Macaca fascicularis: one gene and its partner. The protein of the gene in region 2 interacts with the protein of the main gene of each other region in a pairwise test. Links are inferred from orthologs where the notes say so. Each region holds a gene or a part of one and is shown on either strand. Other genes may lie near its edges. The genes, in order: VPS4B and ZFYVE19.

Region 1 (10,427 bases), on a different chromosome or scaffold from region 2:
TTTTTTTGTTTTTCTTTTCATTTATTGGCCTCTCTCTCCCGGTTAGAATGTAAGCTCTAGGAGAACAGCAGTTATATCTGTTGTCTTCACTTCTTTATATTCCCAGAGTCTATTACAGTGGCTGACACAAGACTGAATGATGTATCACCCCAGGATCACTCAGGATCCAGTTATCAATATGGAAGTATAAAGGTTGGGAACATGTGGAATTGTCCTTTTCCACTTAGGAGACCCAGACACATCCACCTTAGAAAACCCTGAGAAATGGGGTAAATTCTACAATTACCTGCCTCAGGAGAAAAGGTGTCCCAGGCCCTGTCTGTCGAGACCAATTCTTTCTGCTCTGCTGTGGAGCTGATCCCCACCTTCCTCCGCTGACCTTTACTCCATCAATGACATGTCTATCAACTGTTCTCTCCAATCTTTCCTTTTTTCCCTCAGCAGAAAAATGTGTTGTCCTATCTCAGACTCACTTCTGCAGAACACAAACTACACACCATCTCTCCTCAGCTCCTCGGTTCCCCTATCTACATCTCACTCAACTCTTTGCCTCCACATCAAAATCCCGAATACCCACACTCATCCCAGTTTCCCGATCTGCTATTTCTCACACAGCAATGCTTTCTGCCTCCTGACAGCCAAATCTTATGCTTATCTCACTCCCTCTTCGCAGCACTTCACACACACAACAAGTACCCTGACAGTGTCTCCTTGCTTGGCTGTCATGACATCATTTTCTTCTAGGTTTTAGTCCTTTTTTTTTTTTTTTTTTTTTTTTTTTTAAGACAGGGTCTCACTGTGTCACCCAGGCTGGAGTACAGGGGTGTGATCACAGCTCACTTTAACCTCCACTTCCTGGGCTCGAGCCATCCTCCCACCTCAGCCTCTGGAGTAGCTGGGACTATAGGCATGCACCACCACACTCAGCTAATTTTTGTAGAGAGGGGGTTTCACCACGTTGCCCAGACTGGTCTCGAAGTCCAGAGCTCAAGCGATCCGCCTGCCTTGGCCTCCCAAAATGCTGGGATTACAGATGTGAGCTACCGCACCTGGCCTGGTTTTACTTTTGATTAACAATTCTTTTCCAGGCTCCCGTTTCTCTCTCCTTAAATGTCGCTAATCCATAGAATTTCTACCTTGGTCTTTGTTTTGGCTTACTCTGTATACTCTCCAGGATGTGACTCTGTATGCCTACAACCTCTACTGCCACCTGTATGCTAATAATTCCTAAATCCTTATTTCCAGCCTAGTTCACTCTCCCTAGTTCTACACATGCATATGCAAATATTCACCAACATTTCCATTTGATTGTCTCCACAAGCAACTAAAACTCAACAAGTTTAGAACCAAATTATTTTGCTCCCTTGCCCTGGCCCCAAATATCTCTCCTTTTGTATTCCCAGAACCAATCCCTACCTACTCAGATACCCAACCCCGAAATCTGGGAGAAAACCCAGACTATTCCTCCTCCCTTTCAAAACGCAGATACAGCCAGGAGCGGTGGCTCACGCCTGTAATTTCAGAACTTTGGGAGGCCGAGGTGGGGGGATCACCTGAGTTCAGCAGTTGGAGACCCACCTGGCCAACATAGCGAAACCCCGTCTCTACTAAAAATACAAAAATTAGCTGGGTGTGGTGGTGCATCCCTGTAATCCCAGTTGCTACTTGGGGGCACTGAGGCAGAACAGCTTGAACCCAGGAGATGGAGGTTACCATAAGCCGAGATCATGCCACTGCACTCCTGCCTGGGCAATAGAGTGAGACTCCGTCTCAAAAAAAAAAAAAAAAAAAAGAAAAAAAAAATGCAGATACAAGCTTGACTCTTCTCCATCTTTAATTTTTCTCCTCTGATCAATCCTTTTCACTTTATTTGAATGGATACTCTCCTAATTTGGTCCCTCACCGCCTCCCATCAGACAGACTTTGCCTCCTTGCCCAGTACAATATACTGTAATAAAAGTTATGTGAATGTGGTTTATCTCTCTCAGCATCTTATTGTACTGTTCTCAACCTTCTTGTGATTATGTGAAATAATAAAATGCCTACGTGATGACACGAAGTGAAGTGAATGACACAGGCATTGTGACACAGTGTTTCAAAATTATAAACTATTTATTCTGGAATATTTCATTTAAAATTTTTGGACCCAGGTTAACTGTGGGTTATTGAAACTGTGGAAAGTAAAACCACAGAGAAGTGGAGACTACTGTGTAGCTTTGTTACATTATTACATAATCTTGATTTTTAGTTATCTGCATTCCCTCATTAGATTATAAGCATCTGGCCACAGGGAGTTTTGCCTTGCTCAGCACGAAGTTAACCATCACATGGATATTAATCCAAATTTCCTAGGTTAGAAGGCTGAAAAGGTTGAATGAGAAAGCACACATGTGAACCTACCACTAACAAAATCACAATTCAAGATCCCTCCGGCTTAACAGTAACAATTATGCCTTTCATGTTGGTCAGTCTCTGGCTGACGCACTGAAGAAGAGCCAACAGTCCAATTCAAATATGATGCATTCCGGGGCTGGGCACGGTGGCTCACACCTGTAATCTCAGCACTTTGGGAGGCTAAGGCGGGTGGATCACTTGAGGTCAGGAGTTCAAGACCAGCCTGGCCAACATGATGAAACGCTGTCTCTACTAAATATAGAAAAAAATTAGCCGGGCGTGGTGGTAGGTGCCTGTAATCCTAGCTACTTGGGAGGCTGAGGCACGAGAATCACTTGAACCTGGGAGGTGGAGGTTGCAGTCAGCCAAGATCATGCTGCTGCACTCCAGTCTGGGCAACAGAGCAAGACTATCTCAAAACAACAACAAAAAAAACCTGCAAATGATGAAGATTATGTTGTAGAGTATCGAAATCGCATGCGAAGTCTCTGACAAATGAAAAGTTGGTGAAATAAAAATTGTTAAAAAGCCAACGATGACAAGATGGGCACTTCAGAAGGGTCACCTTTAATACTCAAGGGAAAAACACTTTTATCAAATGACCAACGCTTTTTCCAAATACGTTTACCGAAAAGAACCTTTCCAAATAGGACTACAAAAAGCTACAAAAACCTCACGTGAAGATTGCTGAATCTTAGTTTAACACAACCTTGGTGAAAAAGATACAGTCGGCCGGGGGTGGTGGCTCACGCCTGTAATCCCAGCACTCTGGGAGGCTGAGGTGGGCGGATCACCTGAGGTCAGGAGGCCAGCCTGGATCAACGTGGTGAAATCTCATCTCTACTAAAAATACAAAAATTAGCCAGGAGTTGTGGTGGGCAACTGTAGTCCCAGCTACTCGGGAGGCTGAGGCAGGAGAATCGCTTGAACCCGGGAGATGCAGGTTGTAGTGAGCTGAGATCGAGCCACTGCACTCCAGCCTGGGCGACAGAGCAAGACTCCGTTTCAAAAAAAAAAAAAAGAAAGAAAAGAAAAAGACACAGACAAATCAACACTTGACTTATTCTACAAAATGAGTCATTGCTGCAATTATATAATTATTTTGTGAAAGATTAAAAAATTTTTTTTTATAATCTTCTAGGTCGATTTTCAAGACAAAAGTCCCAAGCAAGCCTCCTTTCCCACTCTTTTTGTGTATGCGTGCGTGAAATTTTAATCTCTGTTTAAGTGGGTCTACTTTGAGTGGTCTTTCTTCAGAATCAATTATCACGGACTAAGGAGTTCTTCCATTACCTTTGATGCCTCTATCAGGCACTCCAATAAAAGTTGAAATGCTTGTTCAACAACCTACCGGAAGTCCAAGACGGGGATTCAATACAAGTATTTTAGGCTACTTTCTTCCCTTATTGACTTACTGGACTGGGAGTCCTCTACATTAAGCCACATTACATTCTAAACTCCACTGAAGCCCTAGATCCATTCTGGGGATAGGAGACACCATTACATGAATTTCTTTTCTGAAAGAATTCTATTCCACAGAAGACTAACGATTAAGCCTAAAATCTTAAGATTCCATGATTTGTGTACAAAACACTGTGCTCATTGCGGTAGAAGAGGGGAACTGGAGCCACACAGAAGTTTAAGAATAGTCCTCGATCTTACACACTACAATCTGGGGGCCACAGGAGACTGCACATAAATTCAATGACTTCACGCAGACTGTATGTAGCCTGGCTGTAATTTCAGATTCTTAGTCTGTTCCCATATTTCTACTCATCTGACAGCTCAGAATAAAGGCATCTGCTGTCAGCTTGAGAAACTAAGACCGAACTATGATCACTCTATTTTCAACTGGTCTAGAACAGGGCTTTGCAAAAATTACGTTCTTTCTCCCTTAACCCTGATTGGAGAGATCTGCCCAGATCTTGGCTGGTTTGGGGACGTGAAGACCCAACAAAAGGGAGCAGTATCACAAAGTCAGTGGCTCGGGAGACCCCAAGACCGGGTCAGAAAAGACCTTTCCGCTGGAAAACGGGCCCCTCTCCCACCTGCGGCAGGTCCCCGGACCCGCCCTCCTCCTTCCCGACCACAGGCGCGGCCGCTTCCTCCCTTCTCCCCGCCCCCCACCCGCTTCTCGCGCCTCCCCTGGGTCCCAGCTCCCTAGGGGAACGGGAGATGAGCAATGATACCTGGAGGTTGGGCGAAGTGGATGACATGGCGGAGTTCCCAGGCGGTTCCCAAGGGGAACGAGGGGCGAGAAGAGCCAACGGCAGCGACGTCCAACCGCGCCCGGGGTAACAGCCCCCAAACTGGGGAGTCCGGTGGTTCTCGGACCGCGAGCAGCAGCCTCCCTTCCGGAACTTGTTTTCAGACAACACTCTCTCCACTAGCAATCGGACCCTCCCCACCAAACTTCCGCAATCCCGAGCCCCTCTAGGTTCTGGTCCCGCCTCTGCTCCGGGCACTTCCGATTTCGTCATCAGCACGCGCGCACCCAGTCACCAGACTCCCTTCTCTCGCCACAGCGCAGGCCCTCCCTAGGCCGGGAGAAGTAGCCTGGAACCCAAACGAGCCCTGGCGGAAGTCGGGCTCGGCGCAGGCGCACTGAAACTCTGGCCTAGGGGCGGGGCGGCAGCCTGGCGGACCTAGGATAGCGCAAGCGCGGAAGCACAGAGCCGGTTGTGGTTTTTTTTTTTTCTGTTTTTTTTTTTTGTTGTTGTTGTTGTTGTTGTTTGTTTGTTTTTTCCCCACCCCCAGGGACGTCTTTTACTTTGAGACGAATTATTGGTCCTGGCTCCCTTCCCTCCTCATCCACGTGCCTTGTTGCCTCGCAGCGTTTGAGTGAAAAACTCATCCATTTCCAAGACCCGCCGACTGGGGGCTTTGGGCCTGTGACTGCGCCTCCCTCACTGCGTGTCCTCTGTGGAATGGGGGCGATCACAGTCCTCGTCTCGGTGGTGAATAATTCAGGAGGGAGTGCGCGGTGAGGCGGCCGCGCAGCGATGCGCTAGCAGTCAGGCCGCGGGCGGGTCGGCGCTCGTTCCTGCTTGTTCTTCCCACGCCACTCGGCATCTTCCAAATGACTGTTGTGTTGGGAAGATGAACGTAAATAAGGCGTGGACGGCCGCTGTCCTCGAGTATATGTTCTAAGAGGGAAGCACTTGTCCTGTAAAATGGGCATTATGCCGGTTATGTTTACAGGCAAATGGCTTGAGGTTAAATGCGTCAGGGATTAGAGGCAGAACCAAGGTAAAACCCTTTCTTAGCCTTCCTATGGTTTGCAGCCACCACCACCGTTTTCTTCTTTTCATAATTAACCTTCTCAAAGGAAAGCAACGTAGATGTTTAATCACTCCATCATTTTTTTCTCACTCATTCCTTAATTTTTTCTAATCTGGCATCTCCGAAAGAATTAAAGTCTTCTTCTCCTCCCTCTTCATTGGTATTGTCAACTACCCCGTTCTTATTTGTCCGGCTTCCTAATGTTCCTTTTCTACCTCCTTCACTGTCTCCCTTTCTTACTCCTTCCTGAGCTTAAGCTGAATTTTCTCAAGAGTCTGATGTCCTCTTCTCTCTTTCTTCTCCACCTCTGCTCATCTTATTCTCTTCTTGAGCTTCAGCTATCAATAGACTAGAAGTCGCTTCAAATCTGGATTTCTAGACCCATCGCATCCCCTGCCCAGCATTTACAACAGCCTCCCAGAGGTTTCCTTCACAGGGTTTTTCTGCAAGACAAATTCAACATACTCAAATTAATTACCTTCTACCCTAAACTTCTTTCTCTGGTCTCTCCTTAGAATAGTATTGCCAAATCTGTATCATCCAGGCTCAAAGCTCAGAGCCCTGTCTCTGCCCTGCATCTACCAGTCCTTTCTCCCTACTTGTGAAATTGCCTTTGCAAAATGGTGACTGAGACAGTGAAAGAGATCTAACTTAACCAACTCCATCTTGCTTCTAACCTCCAAGATGTCCTTCTACATTCCTGGGCATAGGCTGCACTAACTGTGGGAGAAACTAAGTTTATAATTTAAGCAAAGATGGGCCAGGTGCGGTGGCTCAAGACTGTAATCCCAGCACTTTGGGAGGTCGAGGTGGGTGGATCACTTGAGGTCAGGAGTTGGAGACCAGCCTGGCCAACATGGTGAAACTCCATGTCTACTAAAAGTACAAAAATTAGGCCGGGCGCGGTGACTCACGCCTGTAATCCTAGCACTTTGGGAAGCCGAGGTGGGTGACCACCTGAGGTCAGGATATGAAGACCAGCCTGGCCAACATGGTGAAACCTCGTCACTACTAAAAATACAAAAATTACCTGGGCATGGTGGTGCATTCCTGTAATCCAGCTACTCGGGAGGCTGAGGCAAGAGAATTGGTTGAACCAGGACCCAGGAGGCAGAGGTTGCAGTGAGCTGAGATTGCACCACAGTACTTCAGGCTGGGCTACAGAGTGAGACTCTGTCTCAAAACAAACAAAAAAAAATTATCCAGGCGCGATGGTGCCTGCCTGTAATTCCAGGTACTTGGGAGGCTGAAGTAGAAAAATCACTTGAACCCAGGAGGCAGAGGTTGCAGTGAGCCAAGATCACACCACTGCACTCCAGCCTGGGCAACAGAGAGAGAATCGGTAAAAACAAACAAAAAACCCTCTTTTATCACCAGTAATAAGCCATGTTGTTATGATGGAACCCCTGATGTGGAGAAGGGCACATTACCTCTGTGGTATGGTTCCCAAACCTGTAACCTCAATCTAATCATGAGAAAACATCAGAAAAATTCATATGGAGGGTTTTTCTACCTCTACAAAATGACCAGTGCTCCTCAAAAATGTCAAGGTCATAAAAGACGAGGAAAGACTGAGGAACTGTCACAGATTGAAGAGACTAAGAAGATGACAACTAAATGCAGTATGGGATTCTGCATTGGATCCTGAAACAGAAAAGGGCCAGGAGTTGAAAAACTGTTGTAAGAATGAGAATAAAGTCTGCAGCTTAGCTAATAGTAATTTATAAATGTAAATTTCTTAGTGTTGATAAATGTACTATGGTTATTTAAGATGTTAACAGTAGGGGAAGTTGGGTGAAGAATACATGGGAATTCTCTGTATACCTTTGCACCTATTCTGTAAAAGTTTATTTTTAATTTTATTTGTTTACTTATTTTGAGACAAAGTCTCGCTCTGTCACCCAGGCCGGAGTGCAGTGGTGCAATCTCGGCTCACTGCATCCTCCACCTCCCATAATGATTCTCCTTCCTCAGCCTCCCGAGTAGTTAGGATGAGAGGCGTGTGCCACCATGCCTGGCGAATTTTTGTATTTTTGTAGAGATGGGGTTTTGCCGTGTTGTCCAGACTGGTCTCAAACTCCTGTCCTCAAGTGATCTGCCTGCCTCAGCCACCCAATATGCTGGGATTACAGGTGGGAACCACCACACCCAGCCTGTAAGTATTACTTTAAAACGAAAATTTTTCATTTTAAAATTCCCGTTCCCTGGGACTTTACATTTTAGTGGAGTAGAAACTTTTAACCGTTTACATATTTAAAATGTAAATGTAAAAATGTTACATGTGTAAGAGTTTACAGAGTACTTTTGCATACATTATCTTACTGTATACTACAAGGTAAATCTTAAATCTCCCATTTTTACAAAAGAGGAAACAGGCCAGGCGCTGTGGCTCACACCTGTAATTCCAGCACTTTGGGAGGCTGAGACGGGCAGATCACGAGGTCAGGAGATTGAGACCATCCTGGCCAACGTGGTGAAACCCCGTCTCTACTAAAAATACAAAAACTAGCTGGGTGTGGTGGCACGTGCCTATAATCCCAACTACTCGGGAGGCTGAGGCATGAGAATCACTTGAACTCAGGAGGCGGAGGTTGCAGTGAGCTAAGATCGCGCCACTGCACTCCAGCCTGGCGAGAGAGCAAGACTCTATCTCAAAAAAAATAAAGAAAAAAAAGGGAACAGCCTGAGAGGTATCAGTAGAAATGCCCCCCAATTCATTCAGCTTTTATATGGTGGAGCTGGAGTTTGACCCAGGTCTTCTGACTCCCGAATGACAAGTGCTAGGATAGAGGCAGGAAGCCCTGTGGGACCACAGGAGAGAGAAGGCTTAATTCTGAAGGAGTGGTTAGGGATGTCTTAGGGAAAGTTCACTTAAACTGAAGTTTAAAATCTTAATCTGATTTTGACGGAGTGCAGGCCATTTCAGGCAGAAGGAAAAGCAGAAATAAAGGTGCCGAAGAATAAACTACCTGCTCTGTTTGAGGGATCCCTGGAATGTAGGAAGCAGAGGTGCTGTGGGGTTGGAGTGGCAGGAGATAAAGCTAAAAATGCACCAACTGGCACTGCCAGTTAGAGGCTTGGAATAATGAGTTTGGACATCATTCTGTAAGATTTGTTGAAAGCTTTCCTCTTCATTCTGTCACTACCTCCTGCTTTTCTGTCTTCCTGTCTTCCTTCTTGGTAGAATTGTGATTTGGTCAGATGTTGGTTTCATGAAGGTGGATCTGAGTCCTTTTAGGATACACCAGAAAGAGAGAGGCGGCAGTAAGATCAAGCAGGAGGTTCCTGCAAGTGTTTCATTTTAGACAAAAGGGATGCAGAGCCAAAAGGGATATTCCCGGTTCCTGCAGTGCAGCCCCCCTTCTTGGGCGTTGAAGAATAGATTCTCCTCCTGGCCTGGCATGGTGGCTCACGCCTGTAATCTCAGCACTTTGGGAGCCCGAGGCGGGTGGATCGCCTACGGCCAGGAGTTTGAGACCAGTCTGGCCAACATGGTGAAACCTTGTCTCTACTGAAAATACAAAAATTAGCCGGGCATGGTGGTGGGGGCCGGTAATCCCAGCTACTCGGGAGGCTGAGGCAGGAGAATGGCTTGCACCAGGGAGGGGGAGGTTGCAGTGACCGGAGATCATGCCCTTGCACTCCAGCCTGGGCAAGAAGAGCAAAATTCCATCTCGAGAAAAAAAAAAAAAAAAGATCCTGGCTCCTTTCATTGCTTTCACCAATTCAATCTGTTAAAAATCATACTATTCCTCAAGTGTCAGTTCCAATGTCACTTCCTCAGGAAAATTCTGAAACCTCTCTGAGCTCTCATCGCACTTTGGACCTTGAATTGCCCTTAAATCACACATGCCAAGTGCCTAACACAGTGCCTGGTGCAGAGCAGATGCTCAAAAATTGTTGATCTTACTAGCACGTGTTCTACTTTTCTAGATAGTAAAATCCCCGAGGGCTAAGACTTCATTTTATTCCATTTGCAACCTACCCCCCTGCCTTACCACCTACATGTACTAAGAGGGTGTGTTCTTCAATAGCCAAGGTTTGTTCAACAAACCTTGCTGTGATCAAGGACTTCAGAAATTAGGAAGGTCAGTGGGGTGGCAGGTGGTGTTTGTGGATTCAGCCTTCGACAGGGTCTCACATGCAGACCGCCCAGGACTGAATTCATTTCACTCAGACCATTTTAAAGAACACGCATAATATTAACATTAAGGTCCTCCCCTCCTGTGCATCCAGAAGTCGGGTCTCTATTTGTTGAGTTTTCAACTTCCTGCCTGACCTGAAACATAACTTGAAGGAAGGCAAAGTGCGGATGGGGCTGATCCCATGAAAGTGACTCAGGCAGTTGTCAGGCAGGAAGTTGGTTGAGCCCATCAGGTGACATTCCTTTCTGAATGTGCTCAGCTACCCTGAAGGCCCAGCCCTTTCTCACTTATTGCTATTCATTTTATTCATATGAAGCCACAGCCAGCTTGTGGACTGATAAGGAGGTGTGGGAATCAACCCATCAATGTCATTCATTCAGCCATGTGATAGAGGGCGTGGGGATGAAGCAGCAATTCCTCATTGCTGGTCATATAAGGGTGAACATGATGTAAGGCATTGGCACAGAAAAGATGAGGGGCCTGCCCTCTAGCAGTTGCAGGCTAGAATAAAAAAAAAAAAAAAAAAATTTTATCCACACCTGGCTAATTTTGTATTTTTAGTAGAGATGGGGTCTCGCCATGTTGGTCAGGCTGTTCCCGAACTTC
Region 2 (10,427 bases):
GAAGCCTCAGCCCCTGAATGGACTGAAGGTCCCCTGCCCTCTTGGCTGCCCCTGACTCCTCCTCACCCACTGCTTTGCTCCACCACCTTCCTTGTGGCTCTGGGCTGGGCTCAGCAGATCTCTGGACACAAATACCCCCAGCACCTGACTCAGCCCTGCCAGGGAGGCCTTGACCAAGGGACACCAGTGAGCAGCTGCTCCCCAGCCTTCACCTCTCTCGGGGTCCTGTCCCCGCAGTACGGCCAGTCGCTTGGCCAGGGCCAGAATCCGTTCCTGCCTCGTGTTCTCCTCCCGCAACTCAAGTGCTGCCTCAGCCAGCAGTCTGCTCTTCTCCGCCTCCAAGGACCAGCTGGCCTGCTTCTTGGAATTAGTGCTCCCTGGGCCACCCTGGTTGAGGTCATTCTGGAGAGAGGCAGCTGGAAGGGGTAATGCCATCAGAGAGGCAGAGACTTCCCAAGATCTCTCCTCAGAAGCCAGTGAGCCCATTTCTCAATGCTTTCTTGCTCTTAAATAATTTTCTTTTTTTTTTTTTTGAGGCGGAGTCTCGCTGTGTCACCCAGGCTGGAGTGTAGTGGTGCGATCTCAGCTCACTGCAACCTCCGCCTCCCGGATTCAAGCAATTCTCCTGCCTCAGCCTCCCGAGTAGCTGGGATTACAGGCACCTGCCCCCATGCCCAGCTCATTTTTGTATTTTTAGTAAAGATGGGGTTTCAACATGTTGGTATCCAACTCCTGACCTTGTGATCCACCCACCTCGGCCTCCCAAAGTGCTGGGATTACAGGCGTGAGTCATCACGCCCGGCCTTTCTCAACCCTTTCTAATCACAGATCATCAGCTTTTTGCTCAGCACTAGAGACTATGGTTTCTATTACAAATAAAATCAGTATTCCTCCATTTTCCCAAATGTAAAAAACTAGTAATCTTAGCCATGTCTTTTCCAACCAGATCCATCCCCATCTACCTGATATTTTGACAGTCTGTCCTAAGGGTGGGTGTCCTATGGTTTGAGAATTACTGCCCTAAAGGAACAAGACATGATGAGGCCAAGGTTCAGTCACTCTCTTTGCCTTTCAGGGCAGGAATTACCATTTCCTGGGATCAGCACAGAGAGGGCAATGAAGCCAAGACCTTGTATATCACTGGGCAGGAAGAATTTTACCAGATTAGGTGTGGCTCTGACACAGTCACCTTCAGTTTAGTGTTTCAGAGCAAGAGGTTTAAAATTACAGCTTAGGTTTAAGTCTCATCTCTGCAGCTTAATGTCTGTGTGACCTTGGTCAAGTTCCTCAAGCTCACCAGGCCTGTTTCCTCATTTATAAAAAAGAACAGTATATACCTTATTTTTTTTTTTTTTAAAACAGGGTCTTGCTATGTTGCCCTGGCAAGTCTTAAACTCCCAGGTTCAAGCTATCCTCCCTCCTGCCTCTGCCTCCTTAGGTGTTTAGGATTACAGGCATGAGCCACCACACCTGGCCTCCTAAGATTATCAAGGCTATTCAATGAGATTGTGCCTCTAAAGCAGGATTTCTCAATGTTAGTTCTCTTGACACTTTGGACTGGGTAATTTTTCATTGTGATGTGCTGTCCTGTGACACAGAAGATTTAGTAGCATCCCTGGCTTCTATCCTCTAGGTGCCAGTAATATCCTGAGTTGTGACAACCAAAAAGTCTCTAAACGTTGCCACAAGTAGCCTGGGGGCCAAAATCATCCTTTGTTGAAAAACACTGCTCTGGCTGGGCTCAAGCCTGTAATCCCAGCACTTTGGGAGGCTGAGATGGGCGGATCACGAGGTCAGGAGATCAAGACCATCCTGGCTAACACGGTGAAACCCCGTCTCTCCTAAAAAATACAAAAAACCAGCCGGGTGAGGTGGCGGGCGCCCGTAGTCCCAGCTACTCCAGAGGCTGAGGCAGGAGAATGGTGTGAACCCGGGAGGCGGAGCTTGCAGTGAGCTGAGATCCGGCCACTGCACTCCAGCCTGGGTGACAGAGCGAGATTCCGTCTCAAAAAAAAAAAAAAAAAAAAAAAAAGAAAAACACTGCTCTGAAGCCTTCAAACAGCACTGTCCAACAGAATGTTCTATGATGACAGAAACATTCCATATCATGTTCTATATCTGTGCTGCCCATGATGGCAGCCATGAAGCCCATGTGGCTACTGAGCATTGAGATGTGGCTGGTGCTACTAAATAGCTTCTTCCTCCTTATCAACATCATGATTGCAGAGAATATTCACTGAGTACTCACTATGAGTCAGATACCATCCCAAGTACTTAGTGGATTATCTCATTTACTCCTCGTGATTTCCCTGAGGTAGGTTTTTCCATACATATCTTCATTTTACACATGAGGAAAGTGAGACTTAGGTCAAGTAACTTGTCCAGCATCACACAGCTAATACGTGATAGAACTGGGAATCACTGTCTGATTCTAAAGCCCGTGCACTTAAACACTAGACTTACACTGGCTCCCTTTGGAGTAAGCACTCAATGAATCGTAACTCTTACAATGTTGATCACTCTCTGATTTACATTCATCTCCCAGAGGGTGGACAGCAGAGCCTCTCCAGTCTGGGGAAAGAGGTGGGGCAGATTCCTAGGGAGCCAAATGGAGGGGTTACCTGGGTCTCCTCCTTTCCAGCTGTCGATAGCCACCTCAGCTGCCAGCTGCGTTAGCAGATCCTGTGTCTGCTGGGCTTGGGTCCTGTTGTCTGGTGTGTGATGTGCCTGTCCAGACGAGGAAACCTCAGTGGAGAGCAGGGGTAGCCCAGAAGCAGTCTAGGTCAGGGATGGATGCTAAGGAGTTCTCAAAGCCCAGGGAAAGGAGAAGGATCCACGGCCCACATAATCAAGTAGGTCTGGCAGTCCCCAACAGGACTGAGGGGCCACTTTTTCCTGCCCTACCCAATTGTGCTGTTTGTCCCTGGTCCCCGGGTCTGGTAGCAGGCCTGAGGATCAGGAGGTAGGGGTGGGAGGCTTTGCCAACTCCTGCAAAGTACATAAAATACAAAGGTTGGTGCAAAAGTAACTGAGGTTTTTGCAATTAAAAGTAATGACAAAAACTGCAATTACTTTTGTACCACCCCAATACCTGTGTCTGGGCATCTGCTGGGTCCTCCCCCTAGCACTCCCGCTTCTCTCCTAAGCCACAACACTCACCGGCTGGGGGGTTTGAGAAGGTAGAACTCTGCCCTGCAACGCCGCAAGCCGTGCCTCCATTTCCCGGGTGGAAGGGATGGAGCCCTGACGTTCATCCTTTAGCGCAGCCAGTCGTGCCTCTATCTCTTCCTGTGAGGGGACTAACTCTGCAATTGGCACGGAGGGAGCCTTGTAAGGGCCAGAGGCATCTCAGTCCCAGAAGCCCTGGACTGTGTCCTCTAGGCAACCCCATCTGCCCCCGCTCACTGGGCTTGTTCTCCTGGCGGAGTCGTGCTAGGCGCTCAGCAATCATCTGGTCTTGTCGGGTCAGTCCCTGGCTCTGGGAAGTGCTGGGCTTCTGCCTGGCTTCCAAGGCTGCCACACGCCTGGCAGGATATGAGACAGAGGCTCTTGAAGAAGGCAGAGGGGAAGAGTGAAGGCACCCACTCACTGTTTCCCATTCAAATCGAATCATTTCTGGGCACCTAGGGAGGCCTCCAGTGGGCAATCTGCTGTGCCCCTCACTCATGCCACCCTGCAGCCCAACCTGGCTGACCAGCCAGAGGGTCTAGCTGAAAGGACAAGCTATACCTAGTGCCTGTCCTGGAGAGAGGGCTGAAGAGCTGCTTTACAAGCCCAAGAGGGCAGTGAGGAGCTGGAGAGGAGAGCATTCTCCTGATTCTGTGCTCATTCCATCTAGAAGATTCGGGGAGGGTCTTTCCCTATGGCTCCCTTAGCCTTTCCCCAACCCTCTTTGTCTTTTTCTCTTCAGCACTTACTTCTTATAGTTCTGAGGTGGTGACCACTTGGAGGCATTGGCAGAAGATCCTCTACAGAGAAGAAATCTAGTGTTATAAGTCCTGCCATCCCACCAGGTAGTGCCCCCCACTCCAAACACTTCCTCGGCTGACTCTCGCCATAGAGTACAAAGCTGTGAGGGCTGGCCAGATGCCCACTGCCATACTTGACTGAACTTTCACCCATGCCTGCCTCTCACCTGGTCAGGACCTCGTGGCATTGCTTGCAGACTTTCTGTTGGGTGTTCCCAGTCCGAGGCACTGCTGCACTGAAGCTTAGGCAGCCTGAACAGAAGGCCCTGCCACAATTCTTACAGCCATACTACAAGAAACATGAAACAGGAGATCCACCTCTCACCTGCCCCTACAGGCTGCTCCCAGGGACTCTCCAATCTCACACACAGAGAAGTCACTGAAGTCATGGCCAGCTGCTGGGAGGAGGAAGAGGAGTGGGGCCCCTAAGGCCTAGGGGTGGAGAGTAAAGCAATTCCTCGGTTTCCAGCATCTTATTCAAGCCAAATGAAGGTTTATACAAAATTCCCAGGCTTTCTACCCTGTCTTCAATTCCCTGACCCAGGGGTGTAGAAGGCAGATAGATAAAACCCAGTATTTCAGGCCACTGACTCTTCCACACAGGAGAATCAGAGACTGAGCAGAGCCCATGCCTCCTCTGCTCTTGCTCAGGATGGGCTAACAATAGCCTCCATTTATTAAGCACTTACTATGTACCAGGCACTAAACCCAGTACTTAACATTCATCATGTGATTTATTCCTCACAATTTACACACATTATTTTACTTAATCTTGATGCCAACCGTGATTATACTTGTTTCAAGAGGAACAGAGGTCCTTTTACCCAAACCAAGGTCACCCCCTCAGTAAGACAGCAGATCTCAGATTTGAACCCTGACTCCAAAATCCAGGTTGGTAAACGCTACACAGTCCTGCCTTCCTACATGATACTAATTTACTCCATCTGGTTCCCAGCATCTCCTGGTCAGAATCCCTAGCCACAACTGAGGCAGAGGGGGCCTGCAGTTTACTAGAGGAATCTGGCAGGTCTGTGATAAGGACAGGACAGCTACCCTTCACCATGGTGCCCCTGAATCAGGAGGAAGTGTGGTAACCGAACTCGAGCGACCTGGAGAAGGGCGGGCTGCGGGATGGGGAAGGTTCAGAGCGGAGAGAGTAACGGGCTTGGTGTGATAGACACCGTGCTTCAGAGGGGCAGGGTGGAGAGAAAAAAACCGCCAGATGCTACACTGGGCCGACAGAAAAGAGTAGCGTTGCAAAAATGACGGCAGCGCGCTTTACAGTTTATAGGGAACTCTCAACCTAAAGCACTTCAGTGGACCCTCACATAAACTCAGAAAGCGAGGGAATGTTAGTCCCATTTTACAGAAATGGAAACTGAGGATCAATGACTTCATCAAAACTACATAGCTGGAAAGGGGCCGTAAGACCAAGTTTTGGACGTTAAGTCCCGCGCTTTTCCCTCCTCTCCTCCCTGGCCCTGCAGCTTTCGGGGAGGGAAGACTCGCCTCCTTCTTGAAGAGGGTGAACTTGACAGCGCAGCCGTAGCACCTACTCTCCATGGTGGCTCCCAGCACCGCAGGATCTGCAGAGTTGAAGTCACGCCGCCCAAGTCCTAGGCCCCTTGTACCCTCACCCCAGCTCCGCCCTTCCCTTCCCTGCCCTGCCACGCCCTGCCCCGCCCCACACGCCCACTGGCACTGTCCGGCCGCGACCTACAGCGGGGAATCCGCACGCTCCCCTGCAGCCAGCCTACGGCAGCGGCGGCAACGGGGGCTGCTGGGAGTCGTAGTTCATTCACGACTGCCAGCCTCCCTCAGAGTCAGTCAAGCCTGACCCAGAACACAATTCCCAGAGGGCTAGGCGCCACTCGGAGCCGGCAGTCCCCACGCGCGCTTAGACTCTTGGGAGTTGTAGTACGAATCCGTCAGGCCAGAACCATGGCAGTGACCAAGGAGCTCTTACAGATGGACCTGTACGCGCTGCTAGGCATTGAGGAGAAGGCAGCGGACAAAGAGGTGAGAATGGTGGCGAGGAAGGCTGATCCTGAGAGGTCTGGCGGCCCTTCGTGTCCTAGCGCCAGGGCCGCGGCTGGTATCCGCTCTCCAGGTTCATTCGGGTCCTGGGCGGGGAGCGAGGGTCGGCCCTATGCCCTCCGCAGCGGGCTCCCAGACATTTCCTGGACGGTCCGAGGGCCTCAAGAGGAAGCGGGGAACAGAGGGCTCTTCGCGCCGGGTGGCTGTGCTCTCCCTGTGGCCTCTGTCTGCTAGAGGCCGCGGGGTGAGGCTGCGAGGGAACGCTAGCCTCCTCTGCGCTTGCGCAGTCTCGGCGTCCGTTTCCGCTTCTGCCTTGGCTGTGACAAGAGGTGCCTCGTTTCAGTCTCTTCTGCAGGCTGATTTAATTCCTCCACTTAGAGCCTAGGGCGAAAGAAAAGTCAGATCTCAAGGCCTCTCCACTCCCTTTTCATGCCCCCTTGCCAATGTGACCGATGACCCTGCTGTCTCTATTTTCTTTTCCACTCTAGCCCATTGATTCTTTTCAGGTAGCTGATGCCCTTCTCAGCATGTGCTCGTTAGTGGGCTAAAAGCAGGAGGATCAGAAAGTTAAGGCAGACGGCCTAGAGTTCCATGCTACCTTAGGTGTTGATAAAAGATGCCAGGGAGTGAAACACTGATCAAGCTGGATTTAGGATTTCTGTTATCTCCCCCTGGATCATGGTGGTAGTTTTAACAATATAGGGAGAGGCGTTCATCAAATGAAAATTAGTGCCCAACTGAGCCGAGATCGCGCCACTGCACTCCATCCTGGGCGGCAAAGCAAGACTCCGTCTCAAAAAAAAAAAAAAAAAAAAAAAGTAAAATTAGTGCCCATTAGGCCGGGTGCGGTGGCTCACACTTCTAATCCCCGCACTTTGGGAGGCCGAGGCGGGCGGATCACGAGGTCAGGAGTTCGAGACCAGCCTGGCCAATATGGTGAAAGCCCGTCTCTATTAAAAATACAAAAACTAGCCAGGCGTGGTGGCACGCACCAATAGCCTCAGCTACTCGGGGGGCTGAGGCAAGAGAATCGCTGGAACCCGGGAGGTGGAGGTTGCAGTGAGCCAAGATTGTGCCACTGCACTCCGGCCTGGGTGACAGAGCGAGACTCCGTCTCAAATTAAAAAAAAAAAAAAAAAGGAAAAAAGAAAATTAGTGCCCACTATTGTCCCTGTACTTCTGAGCTGCCCTGCTCATGGGATGAGTGAGCTTTTGAGAAGAGGAAGCTCTGGGGCAGAAAATCAGGGAGACCCAGAGGGTCCCTGAGAGATGCTGTCAACCTGCACAAATCTGTCCCCTGCAGCCGCAGTTGAAATCAGAAGTGGCCATGGCATGTCTATGAAGCATCAAAAGCATCTGCTCCACCTCTCTCATGTTTTAATATTTTAGGATTAATAATTCCTAACACCTGTATAATGCTTACTATGTCCTAGACAGTATTTTTTTTTCCTGGATTGTATTCTAAGTGCTCTCCGTTTGCAAATTATTATTTTTAAAATTCTTTATTTATTATTATTTTTTGAGACGGAGTCTTGCTCTGTCGCCCAGAGCTGGAGTGCAGTGGCGCAATCTCAGCTAATTGCAACTTCTGCCTCCTAGGTTCAAGTGATTCTCCTGCCTCAGCCTCCCGAGTAGCTGGGACTATAGGCATGCACCAGCACGCCTGGCTAATTTTTTTTTTTTTTTTCCGTGATCTTCCCACCTCAGCCTCCCAAAGTGCTGGGATTACAGGTGAGAGCCACCATGCCCTGCCTGTATATTATTTAATTAGTACTTTATTACTAGTGGGAAATTATTTGAGACATTTCATCCAAGATCCGAGTGGGAAATCTGGAGTTTTGGGGTTTTTTTTTTTTTTTTTTTGAGATGGAGTCTCACTCTGTTGCCCAGGCTGGAGTGCAGTGATGCAATCTTGGCTCACTGCAACCTCTGCCTCCCAGGTTCAAGGAATTCTCCTGCCTCAGCCTCCTGAGCAGCTGGGATTACGGGCATGTGCCACCACGCCCAGCTAATTTTTGTGTTTTTATCAGAGACAGGGTTTCACCCTGTTGGCCAGGCTGGTCTTGAACTCCTGACCTCAAGTGATCCACCAGCCTTGGCCTCCCAAAGTGCTGGGATTACAGGCATGAGCTACCGCGCCCAGCTGAAATCTAGAGTTTCTAACCCTGAACTTGAGAACTCCTGAGGAAGTCAGTTGGAAGCCATTCTCTATTAATTAGAGAAGTTACATAATCAGATTTTCTTTTTTTTCAATTCTAGTTTTTGAGAAAAGATCTCTCTCATTCAGGCTGGAATGCAGTGGCACAATCACAGCTCGCTGCAGCCTCGGCTTCCTGGGCTCAAGTCAACCCACCTCAGCCTCCCATGTAGCTGGGACTGCAGGTGTGCATCATCATGCCTGGCTAATTTGTTTTGTGTGTGGTGTGTGTGTGTGTGTGTTTTTTTTTTTTTTTTTCTCCCAGAGATGGGGTCCAGCTGTATTGCCCAGGCTGGTCTCAAACTCCTGGGCTCAAGTGATCCTCCTGCCTTGGTCTCCCAGAGTGCTGGGATTGCACGTGTGAGCCACTGTGCCCTGCCCATAATTGGATTTTAAAGAAAGTATTCAGCTGAATGTGATGGCTCACACCTGCAATTCCAGCACTTTGGGAGGCCAAGGTGGAAGGAATGCTTGAGGTCAGGAGTTTGAGACCAGCCTGGGAAACATAGTGAGACTCTGTCTCTCCATATATATAAAAAACACAAAAAAAAAGCTGGGCAGGGTGTTACACGCCTGTAGTCCTCACTACATGGAAGGCTGAGGTGGGAGGATCACTTGAGCCTGGGAAGTTGCAGTGAGCTATGATTTTGCCACTGCATTCCAGCCTGGATGACAGGGTGAGACCCTGCCTCTCTTAAAAAAGAAACGAAAAAAGAAAAGAAAAAAGGAAAGAAAAGAAAATTCAGCTCTAGTCTGCATAATGAAAATGGGTGGGGGTGGGAGGAATGGAAGAGCTGCCACTAGGGGGTCAGGTGGGGCTGGTGTCTAGGCAAGAGACCAAGGTCTGAGCTGGGCAATAGTGACTGGGATCCAGTTCTAACTCAGATGAGATAAGGGATATGTGTGAAGCCTCTTTATAAAGCGTAACAGGTGCTGTTCCTGCCTTTTAGTAGGAGAGGCAAGATTCATGCATACAAGGGAGACATGGTAAGTTCCTTAAGAGGGGTACAAAGTGCTGTGGATGTTCAGTGTAGGCTGAGATTGCTTTTAGTTTGAGAGAAGGGATAAAGGAAGTAGAGAAGGTATTTGGGGCCTTGAAGAATGAGAAGAGTTTGGACATGTGGAGGTGGAGGCAGGGCATTCTAAGAAAGCAAATGTATATATTAATACGTACAGTCTATTTTGGAGCATAAGTAGGTGGCACCCTCAAAGAGGCCTTACCTATTTTTCTTTTTCATAGCAGCCAGTTCTCCTTTCTAGCACTTATTCCCATTTGCACTTTGGATACACTGGCTAACTTCATGGCAACAGACACTTTTTGGTAGAAAACAAGAGAGACCTAGGCCCTGGTGTCCCCTCACCATGGTTTAATACCTGTCATAGCCAACCTAGGTTGCTGTCATAGGGCAACCTAGAGGATACACAAATATTTCAAGTGTATACAAGGAAGAACTCCTAAACTGGTTGTCCAAATAGCCTGGGAGTTCTTAATTTGGCCTCTACAGAAAGTCTCCAGGAACTGGGTGAAGGAACCTCTGAAAATCATGTGTGATATTTTTTATGTATTTATTCTAGAGGAGAGGGGGACATTTTTTTTTCTTTCTTTTTTTTTTTTTTTTTTTTTTTGAGGCAGGGTCTCTCCCTGTTACCCATGCTGGAGTCAGTGGCATGATTACTGCTCACTGCAAACTCCTTCTCCTGGCCTCAAGCAATCCTCCCACCTCAGCCTCAAAAGTAACTGGGACCACAGGTGTGCACCACCATGCCCGGCTAATTTTTGTATTTTTGTAGAGATGGGGTTCCACCATGTTGGCCACGTTGGTCTTGAACTCCTGGGTTCAAGCAATCCTCCCGCCTTGGCCTCCGAAAAGTGTTGGGATTATAGGCATGAGGTACCACACCTGGCCAGAGGAGAGAATTTTAATTCAAAAAAGGTTAAAGAAGCCCTGATGGAGGCCAAGCTCCCTGTGTTACTGATGGTGAAACTGCAGCTCAGAGAAGTGGGTTAGTGGCAGAATTGAGACTAGAACCCTGATGCCCTGATGCCCAGCTCAGGCCTCTGCTCCGTCTACTAAGGCTCCCTGGCCCTGTCCAGCGCGGTTCAGTGGTAGTGATGAGCACCACTACCAAATTTAACTTGTGTTCAGACTACTTCTCTGAATCCCTAATCCATGTATCTATCTGCCTGTTTAATCCCTCCATTTGGATGTTTCACAGCAGTCTAA

The links.
Region 1: the proteins of ZFYVE19 (region 2) and VPS4B interact in binary tests that used the Homo sapiens proteins (3 or more experiments, as listed by UniProt). The two-hybrid records come from large-scale screens. The link is inferred for Macaca fascicularis from reciprocal best matches to the Homo sapiens genes ZFYVE19 and VPS4B.

What each region holds. Positions count from the first base shown.
Region 1 is NC_088392.1:17,407,661-17,418,087, reverse strand, and holds the start of VPS4B (vacuolar protein sorting-associated protein 4B), read right to left. Parts: upstream 4,801-10,427; 5' UTR 4,611-4,800; coding exon 4,584-4,610; intron 1-4,583.
Region 2 is NC_088381.1:17,348,526-17,358,952, reverse strand, and holds the start of ZFYVE19 (abscission/NoCut checkpoint regulator), read right to left. Parts: upstream 5,715-10,427; 5' UTR 5,532-5,714; coding exon 5,478-5,531; intron 4,258-5,477; coding exon 4,136-4,257; intron 3,969-4,135; coding exon 3,918-3,968; intron 3,525-3,917; coding exon 3,406-3,524; intron 3,306-3,405; coding exon 3,160-3,305; intron 2,728-3,159; coding exon 2,622-2,727; intron 417-2,621; coding exon 213-416; intron 1-212. Other genes in the region: DNAJC17 (dnaJ homolog subfamily C member 17), read left to right, coding at 5,910-5,987. UniProt on the Homo sapiens protein: Key regulator of abscission step in cytokinesis: part of the cytokinesis checkpoint, a process required to delay abscission to prevent both premature resolution of intercellular chromosome bridges and accumulation of DNA damage.